2 linked regions of the Drosophila melanogaster genome follow. The protein of the gene in region 1 purifies or fractionates together with the protein of each later gene. This does not show direct contact. Each region holds a gene or a part of one and is shown on either strand. Other genes may lie near its edges.

Region 1 (2,815 bases):
ACAAATTAAACAATTTTAGTTTTGATGGATGTCGATCAACTTCAGAGCTTCAAAACAACCTATGGGAGAGCATGACGGAGATCACGATATGGTTGGCGTATGTGGCACTGAAAGGCCACAAGCCTGATGCAAAATGTAGAAAAGGCCAAACCACAGCAGCAATTGTCAAGACTTGGCTCGTCTGGAAATGCCCTCACGTATATATTACTCCAGCACTGTCCGCAGACATAAATGTAATCAAATATTCGCCGTAGCCTTGAGGACGGATTTGATTTTATCTTTCTTAGTCTAGCAGCAATTTCGCAACTGCGAGAAACAATCTGTGAGCTACTGTGGTTTGAGTGAATAAATGTTTATAAATAAACAAGTCGAGAACATTTTACTCAAAATGGTAGGTAATTAGTATCAAATGACTTTGAACATAAAAACCTTTCAATAATAAGCAGACGTTGTCGCTGATCAAAACTTTAGTTGGACGCCGACCTTATTGCAAAATGAAAATTACAAAGTCTGTTTATATTGGGCACATTTTTTTTGTTTACTGAAATTATATCAAATATTATTTCATTCCGTACAATTTCCGAGCAGTAAAATGCCTTTAGGCAATGAATTCGTATGGAATCGGGGCCAGAGCAATCGGTTCTTCAAGTTTCTTAACAAAGTGCGCCTTCTTCGGCTGTTCCGGCTGGCGCTTCAGACTGACCCATTGTCCCTTTTCCTTCGCCTCCTTCAGCAATCGCTCATTTTCCTTTACGCGGCGCAAAAAATCTTCGCGGCACTTGGAGTGGTGGATGTGCTCAATGCGCACATTGACCCGCTTAGCAAGGATTTTGCCTCTTACGCGTTTGTTTACTATTACACCAACGGCGTGCTGAGTCACATTGAATATGCGCCCGGTTTTGCCATGATATGCCTTATAGGGCAAACCCTTCTGTACAGCACCATGTCCCTTAATGTCAACGATGTCGCCGATCTTGAAAACCCGCATGTATGTGGACAACGGAATAACTCCATGCTTTCGGAAGGGACGGGAAAACATGTCCCGTGTGCCGCGACGATAGCCCTTTGAGTTGGTCATTTTTATTTATAATCCCCTATAAAAAAGAGGCTTATTAGATCTTTTTCAAGTCATAATGAAGAAATATTCAACAAAACTCGTTGAACTTACGTCCACGCGGTCGTATAGTTGAGAAAAGAAAGAAAGATGGCTACTTGAATAGCGTTGCCACTGATAGCAATTAAGAGTTTAGAAACTAAATATTATGTACCGTCCACACTAAGTTACACAATAAGCTTAATCTTTTAAGAGAAGCAAAATAGTCCCAAGTCTGAATATTTGGTATTAATAAGGATTTAATGCAATATTTATGTAATACATATATTTACATTATATAAAAACATTATATATAAAATTGCACTACATACAAATGTCTAGATACAAATAATCGCTGAGAGAAGTGTTCAACTCCAAGACGTTAATATGCGCTATGGGAATAATTTGTGATTTAAGCGAATTTGTTGATACAATTTTGAAGATACATATAACCTTAAGGAAGATAAAGTCCTGCCCCATTTAATAATTTTAATTTTCAGGAACCGTTCTGCCTAAGTCTTTACTACCGTGGGACTTACTCAGTATTAATTTGCTCCCTTTTAAGAAAAGTCATTCATGATCTGATAATCGTAATTTTTTTCGAATTCGATTTAGCCAAAATCTTTTGATTTCTTTTTTAGGTGCTCTGCTTTTGGAAAATTTGTTCTATAGTTTGGATATCGCAATATGCATTCAGCGGTAAACAGCTGTTTAAGCTGTTCCAGACAACATAGCTGCCACATATTTCATAGTTTTAATTACGATGTCCGCAATTTCTTTTTTGTGGCACTTTGACCACTTAAGTAATTAAATCAAATAGAATTATTTACAAACAACACTATTGGCTCTCCTTTAAATAAATTAATGAATTCCTTCTATATATTTTATATGCCTGTTTCGTTTCACCAACAATGTTTGACCCCTTGACAAATCCAAACTTTTGTTGCCGACATCAAAATTTTGTTAGTCAAATCTGAAGTGGCGTCAGCAATAAAAATTTTATTAAATAAATTAGTGGCAGAATGATCTTGTTATGATGTGCAATAAGCATCAATAGACCACTGAGTAAACTATTTCTTCTCTTGAGTAAATAAGTTCTGTTTTAATATGAAAAAAGGCATTTACTTTTCATTTCGTGTGTCCGCTTTACATATCGAAAAAATCGTAAAAAAAAAACCGAATAATAATTAATAATTAATTTTATAAAAGCCACTCATATAAATATTTAACAGCATATATGTACATGCCACACTGTTCATTTCTTAGCGTAATGAAATAGTTTAATAAGAAATATATGAATCTATATAGGCGAGATCCGCATAATTCATCGTCATAGGATAAATTGTTTTTTTTTTTTCTGGAATCTAATTTCAAAGATTGTAGTAGTTTCAGCGCGAAACATCGATGTTTTTCACAAAAATCGTGGATGTAACATCGAAGTTTTCCGATGTTCTCTAAAATAAAATTAATATTATCATTTACACTTGAAATATAAGAAAAAAGATTTAAATATTATTAAATTCATTTAATTTAATATGTAGAATAAATTAAATATAAAACGTATAATAAAATTACAATATAAAATCAATTAGATTTAAACTGGTATAACTGGTTATATTAGAAAATTAAAAATCAGTGAGAGCTGTTCAAACAGTTGCATTTTAAGGATATCTTTTTATATATGTACATTTTGTATTTGATTTTGTATTTCTTCGGCATACC
Region 2 (7,997 bases), on another chromosome or scaffold:
TAGTGAGGAAATTCAAAAACTTACCTTGTCACAGGCTTGTTTAATACACCTCAGTTCCTCGTTTTTGATTTTCGGAAACTGGCCGTCGCTCACGCCATCTCGGTAGTAGATGATATGATCAGGATAGGCGTTACGGTACTCTTTATACACGCGCAAGTGCTCCAAAGTAATCGAGAACATGTCCTCAATCTCCTCCAGAGCCCCTCGCTGCAAACGATATTGCATGTTATAACTGGCTCCGTAGGGATCGTGTGAGGCTGCTACTCCGACCACACTGGGAATCTCGCGCTGATCGGGAGAGGGATGGGTCACATCGGCTCCAATGTACATGGTGTTCTTCATCATCGGCAGACGAGGATCATCCTTGATCTTGTGGTTGATGCCGTTCAGCTTGGAGTTGATCTTAAGTAGAATATTTCCAATCGTCTGATTATTACACTTTCGTTCCACGGTGAACTGCTTAATGCATTGCGTCAAAATTCCATGCTGCAGCTCGGCCTTCTGCTTAATTGTATCGTAAGAAATTCTAAACTGAGGAATAATCACAATTGCCAGATCGTGCTGGCTGCGCTTCAGATCCGCGAAAATAGTGTCTAGGCTGCGTTCGTCATCCGTGAACGGTCTGTATGTCACATCAGAATCCAAGCTTATGTTGACTGCCTTGCCTTGGGATATTATTAGGTTCCCGAAGTCATTCAGCTGGGTATAGTTCATTTTGCGACCACTCCTCGGATCGCAATACAAGACCGCACACTTGTGCGCCTTGGGCTTGGGCTCCAGAAACTTCATGCCATCCATGCGCCACGACCCGTTCTTCACCATAGTAAACCTCTTACTATGATATTCAACCTGAGGTGGGCTTAGGACGCGGGTGCTTACCACAATAAAATCGTTGGCAATGCGGATGCCAAAGCGACTGATGGTCGGATCCAGGTTGTGCTGGAAGTATTGCAGCAAGTTCATAATCTTGCGCTTTCGCACGTTCGTCGATGTGGCTGCGTACTTTATCATATTGGCCACCTGAGTTGCTCCATCCTTGCGCTGTGAAATACATATGTTTATAGGTATATGTAATGACAATATAGCTTACGGTATTGAACACCAAGATATAGATATAAAGGAATTTAGTGAACTCACGTTTAGGGCCTGACCTTCCTCGATGCTGCATAGCTCGATGGGCAGCAGAATACTCTTGATTGAAGATCCAACGTTCAGACAATGGAGTTGGGGAAACTTCAATGGGTAGTTGCGACTGTGGAAGTAGGACGCAATGGTGACCTTCTTCCCATCGTGTTCGAAGGTCTCACTGCTGGCCGGGGCACGAGAAAGACCATTTACACGGTATACCCTTGGAGCGCTTTGAAACGACTGAGGAGGCGTGTAAACCACATTAATGCCTCTGAGGAATGGCTCAAGGAAGCGTCGCGAATAATCTAAATTCGTTGTATTGTTGATTTTAGCCTTTAAGCTAAATCGCTCCAAATATTCGATCATCGGCATTGAAATCGGAAAGGATTTGTGCGATATATCTACATTTAAAAATGGCCTATCGCCCAGCATAAATGCCTGATACAGACCGACCAGGGCCTCGTATCCATCATCCAGTTCGTGACGATTATTAGGATCGGACATCTTAAAGAAGGAACGACCGACACGGATGGCTTTGTTGTGGCAGGGTGAAGCCAAAACAACCTCCACGCACTGCATTGCTCGCATGGGCTTGTCGAAAATTCGGTCATTCATATAACTGCAGAGGAGCGCGTTCAATAGGAGTATCCATAAAAAACATAATTTATATTTACGTAGTTAACGATTTAAGGTCAATGGTCGAGTCACCAGTCTCCTTGATTTCGATCGTGTAGCGCAAAGTACGACCATTACGATCTGTCACCTAAAATAATAAGAAATAAAAACAACTAAAATATCGTATAGATTAAATTAAATTTAACTGCCACTGTATACATTTAAAAATGTTATTACTCCCAGTTGTTCATAACTTAGTAGACAATTTCTTGCAACTTACAGTCACTTCCGGATTTTGGCTATTTAACGGCAGCTTATCCACCGAGTAGCAAGAGGCTTTGCCATCATAGGCAAGAACTGCTCCGCCCAATTGGTCCACCCGAAATTGTTCAAATGCCTGTCTGTAAAACTTTTTGGGACGCTCTGGCATGATCTTCACGTCATAGTGGTATGCCACAGAAGGCATTTTGGACAGGTCAAGGTCCAGATAGTTGATGCCTACTTGCCCGGGTTTGCCGATTGTTCCGCGCTTAATGCTCCCGGCTGGCTGAGGCGGTAATGGTAATGGGGCAGCCTGCTGTTGCTGAGGTGGTCCACGAGATTGGTATTGGCCTTGGCTCTGGGTTTGGTTTGGTTGTTGTCCAGGCGGACGCTGTTGGTAGCCACCTTCTTGCCCTTGTCGTCCTTGCTGATGGCCACCTTGTTGTTGTCCAGACGGACGCTGTTGGTAGCCACCTTCTTGCCCTTGTCGTCCTTGCTGATGGCCACCTTGTTGTTGTCCAGACGGACGCTGTTGGTAGCCACCTTCTTGCCCTTGTCGTCCTTGCTGATGGCCACCTTGTTGTTGTCCAGACGGACGCTGTTGGTAGCCACCTTCTTGCCCTTGTCGTCCTTGCTCATGGCCACCTTGTTGTTGTCCAGGCGGACGCTGTTGGTAGCCACCTTCTTGCCCTTGTCGTCCTTGCTGATGGCCACCTTGTTGTTGTCCAGGCGGACGCTGTTGGTAGCCACCTTCTTGCCCTTGTCGTCCTTGCTGATGGCCACCTTGTTGTTGTCCAGACGGACGCTGTTGGTAGCCACCTTCTTGCCCTTGTCGTCCTTGCTGATGGCCACCTTGTTGTTGTCCAGGCGGACGCTGTTGGTAGCCACCTTCTTGCCCTTGTCGTCCTTGCTGATGGCCACCTTGTTGTTGTCCAGACGGACGCTGTTGGTAGCCACCTTCTTGCCCTTGTCGTCCTTGCTGATGGCCACCTTGTTGTTGTCCAGGCGGACGCTGTTGGTAGCCACCTTCTTGCCCTTGTCGTCCTTGCTGATGGCCACCTTGTTGTTGTCCAGGCGGACGCTGTTGGTAGCCACCGTCTTGCCCTTGTCGTCCTTGCTGATGGCCACCTTGTTGACCTTGTTTAGTCCACCCTTGTACCTGCTGTTTGCCTTGTTTTTTCTGTGCAGTCCATCCTTCTGCGTCTTGGGATTTTTGCTGTTGGCCTCCTTGCTGGAACCCAGATGCACGGGATCCGCCTGAGCTTGTGGATGGCTGTTGTCTCGAACCTAGATTTAGAAATCGACAAAGAATGTTTATTACAATAGGTGTTAGGTTTCGAAAAAACTGCAAGCAAACTCTTCGAAAAGTATTCACTTGGCTGATTTGAATTTGCTAACGCGAAAATAATTTGTATCACTTTAAAATACATACAGTTTGTCAAGAAACTGTTTACACACTGTGAAATAAGTTGAATTTTTGATTTTAAAGCTAAAAATAAAGGGTTTTTTGCTTAATTAAACGCAATTTTTTTATAAAATATAATTAAACAATATTAATTTTACTTATAAATCAAAAAACAAATTAAAAATATTAAATATACAAGAAAATAAACAACAAATTCCAAGTTTACACACTTTTGAGACTGTCAAGAAACTCTTTACACAAAACACTAAATCGAAGTTTAATCCTAAATTTTTTAATTATTTTATTAAAATTTTAAAAGTTTTGGTATGTAGTATGTTCCCCATTGGCTTTAGCTACAAGTTGAAGCCTTTTTTTCATGGATTGGACAAGTTTTTGCAGGTCATATTCAAACGGGATCTTTTCACACTCTTCGACTATTACAGTCATAAGCTGTTGTTGTGTTTTAGGTCCCTTTTTGCCACCTTCTTCTTTAAGTAGGTCCACAAATTTTCAATGGGGTTCAGATCAGGACTCTGAGGGGGCGTATCGATCACTTTACCACAGTTATTAAGGCGCCAGGTGCGTACATTGCACTCTTTATGTTTCTGATCATGTCCTGGTAAAACTTAAAATTTGGCTTGTTGTTGCTAACCAGACTAATTTTTTCTACACTGGCCTTCAAATTTGTTTTTTAACATTTCTAGATATTGCACGGCATTTATTGTGCTCTCAATTAAGGCTAGTTTTCCCACTCCACGGCTGGTGATACAGCCCCACATCATCAGTGACATTTTTCCAAATTTTATCGTTGGAATGATATTTTGTTTTTCTAGCGCACTCAACGGTTTGCGCCATACTCTGCTTGGCCCGTCGTTATAAAAGAGCATCATTTTTGTTTCGTCACAAAATATGACGTCATCCCAGTACTCTTCCGCATGATCCATCATGCTCACAGCGAATTAATGACGCTTTTCCATATTGGCATCTGATAGCAAAGGGTTTTTCCTTGCAAATCTTGAAGAGTACCTATGGCGTAGGATGACTTGGCGCACAGTTTCGTGTGACACAGTTAGGTGGCATTCTTGCCTGATATCCAGAGCAAGTGATCTGACCGAGATTCGGGGGTTCGCAATCACTATTCGCATAATAAAGCGGTCTACACGCTTTTTAATTTTAATTTTCCGTCCACCACCACTCTTAGGTTCAAGCCTGCCCTCTTTTTCCGAGCCTTTTAAAACATTGTAGACGGTCTTACGGGATACAGGAAACATTTATACTAATTCTGGAAAAGATTTTCCCAACTGGTGGTTATAGTTTATTAATTGGGTAACTTCAAAAGTTAATCTCTTTCCAGGCATTTTATTAAATTTAATAATTCGCTTTAAGCACGTTTGATCAGCAAAATTTCACAAGCAAAGTCAACAAATTTCAATAGAAGCGTTGTAAAAAGCAATGCGAAGCCAAAAATAACGGAAAAATCGAGTTCGTTCTAAGAAAAAGAACAAAACAAAGTAGGAAAACAAAATGTGTAAAGAGTTTCTTGACAGTCTCAAAAGTGTGTAAACCTGGAATTTGTTGTTTATTTTCTTGTATATTTAATATTTTTAATTTGTTTTTTATTTATAAGTAAAATAAATATTGTTTAATTATATTTTATAAAAAAATTGCGTTTAATTAAGCAAAAAACCCTTTATTTTTAGCTTTAAAGTCAAAAATTCAACTTATTTCACAGTGTGTAAACAGTTTCTTGACAAACTGTATGTACATAACCTTAAATGTAAAGATATATTGATGTCAAATGTTCAATTTCGCTTCATCTTTCAGATTTTTAATAAGTTTATAATTGAGTTAAAATGTCGGATCTGGTATAAATTAAGATTAAGATTTACAGATTTGAGCAGATTTTAATTCTTAATTGTTTGATGCTTCTGCCTAAAGCACAACTGTTACATTTCATAGCAAAATTCATTTTTTTAAATATAAAGGAATTTTAATTTAGTTATGTTAAGGGGAAATTCAATAACTGTTATATACAGTAGAATTCACCTTTAAGTATAATACACACATACATAGGTTCTATACAACCATGGCAGTTGAATTTCATCATGGCTGCCACGAATTCGGGAATTCCCAGGCATTTCGAAAGTTTATGGAGCATTTGATTGCAAATGGTAAATCCATATGTACAAAACATATGTATGTACATGCATGCATACATCTATTTTTTGCCTACGCCGATATATCGCACTTTGCACTTACTTTGTTGTTGTTGCTGATGCGGTTGTTGTTGTTGCTGCTGCTGTGGTTGTTGCAGCTGCTGTGGTTGTTGCAGCTGCTGTGGTTGTTGCAGCTGCTGTGGTTGTTGCTGCCGTTGTTGTTGTTGCTTTTGCTGCTGCTGGGGCTGTGGTGCTGCAGCGCTATCCTGTCCTCCTTTCTTGTTCTCTGGGGTGGTAATTGGAAAGTGCATATATTTGAATAGCTGTATGGTCCTGCAGGTGGGACAACTCACTATCTTTTTTTCCCATGATTTACTTTTGAGGGTTTCGAGTTAACTGACGACTTTTAATAGACGATTTTTTAATGCGTCACAGTCTTTTTTAGTGATGGGAGGCCTTAGGGGTGGGCGATAAGTTATTGAGCGGCACAGCTAAAGTGTTTTCTGTTATCGATTATTGATAGGAACATACGGACTAGGCGGGCCATTCAAGTGGGGACTCTATTTATATTTGTATATTTTTATACATGTTTTGTATACATGTTGCTTGTTGAGTCAAATGTATGCTATATTCGTTGAAAAGCATGTATCCGGCAAAAGAAACCGATTTCGACCTAATAAATTATATATATTATAATATATTATATATATTATATATATAAGGACCAATAGCCGAGTCGATCTAGCCATGTCCGTCTTTCCGTCCATCTGTCAGTCCGTACGAACGTCGAGATCTCAGGATGAATAAGAAGCTAGAAAATTGAGATTACGGAAAGCCCCCAAAACTTCCCACGCACATTTTCAAAATGTTTTGACATTTTTCATATTTTTATTAGTCTTGTAAATTTCCATCGATCTGCCAAAAAACTTTAAATTGCCACGCCCACAGTTATGCAAAATGTGATATTTTTCATATTTTGATTAGTCTTGTAAATTTCTATTGATCTGCCAAACTACTATTACTCCCACAAACCGCCGAAAAGCCACGCTTACAATTTTTAACAATTTTAATTTTTTTTCTTATTTTATTCACCAATATCTAATTTGCGTTCGCATTTCCAATAGTTGAGTAACTGGCATCTGATTATCGGGGAAGTTTAAAATAGGAAAAAAATTTTAATTTACTAGTTTTTTTTTTTAAATTTTATTTTGGAAGAAGACATCAGTAAGAATCAATAAATTTAATCACCACTGCTAGAAAGCATTATTTTTATTTTTCCGCCTTTAAGTGAAAAATAGTTTTACATTCCAGAAAAAGTATTGTTTTTCCATAGATAATAAATAAATAAAAGACCCAGATTCCTGCTGTTTGTATGGTTGTTTGAATTTTATTTGGAATTGCACTTTTACTTTTGCCAAATTACAGCAACCAATCATAAAAGTTTTACAATTTTTTTTGATGTATTTTCTTGTTTTGTTTGTTTTTTCCATTTTCAACGTTAAACATACAATATATGCGTTTAAAATGCTATAGCCAAAAAATAGTAAATAGTCGTACATTATTCATACTTGTATATATAAATATATCATAATGTATATTTCATGTTGTCTTTAATTTGTTTGTTTAACGCTTTATTAATAAAATTTTGTTTGTCATTGCACGAGCGTTTTGTTTTTCAACATCGATTTCTGATTTTCGTATTTTTACTAAATATCTTTCTTTTAAAAATTTTCTAACAATTGCACAACTTCGCCCGCTTGATTTATACACACATGCACAGACATACGTAGAAATAGCTAAATTATATTTTATAGATACATATTATCGAGTTGATAGGAAATCAACGGGTTACGCTTGAAATTTCCGTTAAGTAATTTTGTGTTTATAAATTCAACTAATAAAAACTAGAATGACTCATTTAGAACGCTGCGAAAAGAATACAAAAATATCTGTATAAATATGTATGTATGCCAAAAAATTGCACTAAAACGTAAAACACAAATTGTAAACATAAAAAACAAAATAATTGCTGCGAAATTTGATTAAATTGGGTTATACTCTCAAAATATCCCTTCGGTCAGTGCAGCGCCGTCTTATAAAATAAAACTTAACAAACAATAATTCATTTTCATAATTGGCTCGGAAATTGTTTTAAATTGGCCAGGCAACGCGGCAGGTGGAGAACGCAACCGAATTGGGGATACGGATACAGATACGGATATGGATACGGATGCAGATACGGATACGGATACCCATTATAAATTCGTATGCTTTCCATCTATTGAAACTCCAACTTGACGCCCGCTGGCGAACAGATGATGAAGAGAAACTTAAATGCTGCACATAGACATAGTTCGTTACATAATCCACCTATATAGCTACATTATGGAATTGTTTAGGTATTTTATCTCGTCGTCAGCTTTCGTTATTCG

What was found. Proteins that work in one complex are often made in the same cells at the same time.
Region 2: the proteins of RpL21 (region 1) and AGO2 purify together in Drosophila melanogaster (affinity purification with western blotting, with the first as the bait; one study listed by BioGRID). This does not show direct contact.

What each region holds. Positions count from the first base shown.
Region 1 is NT_033779.5:22,246,628-22,249,442, forward strand, and holds RpL21 (ribosomal protein L21), read right to left. Parts: upstream 1,249-2,815; 5' UTR 1,169-1,248; exon of another isoform or gene 1,156-1,168; intron 1,095-1,155; 5' UTR 1,079-1,094; coding exon 599-1,078; 3' UTR 519-598; downstream 1-518.
Region 2 is NT_037436.4:15,552,144-15,560,140, reverse strand, and holds the start of AGO2 (argonaute 2), read right to left. Parts: upstream 6,029-7,997; 5' UTR 5,935-6,028; coding exon of another isoform or gene 5,919-5,934; 5' UTR 5,877-5,918; coding exon 5,669-5,876; intron 3,319-5,668; exon of another isoform or gene 3,292-3,318; coding exon 2,024-3,291; intron 1,892-2,023; coding exon 1,803-1,891; intron 1,748-1,802; coding exon 1,138-1,747; intron 1,042-1,137; coding exon 25-1,041; intron 1-24. UniProt on the Drosophila melanogaster protein: Essential for RNA interference (RNAi); double-stranded RNA induces potent and specific gene silencing.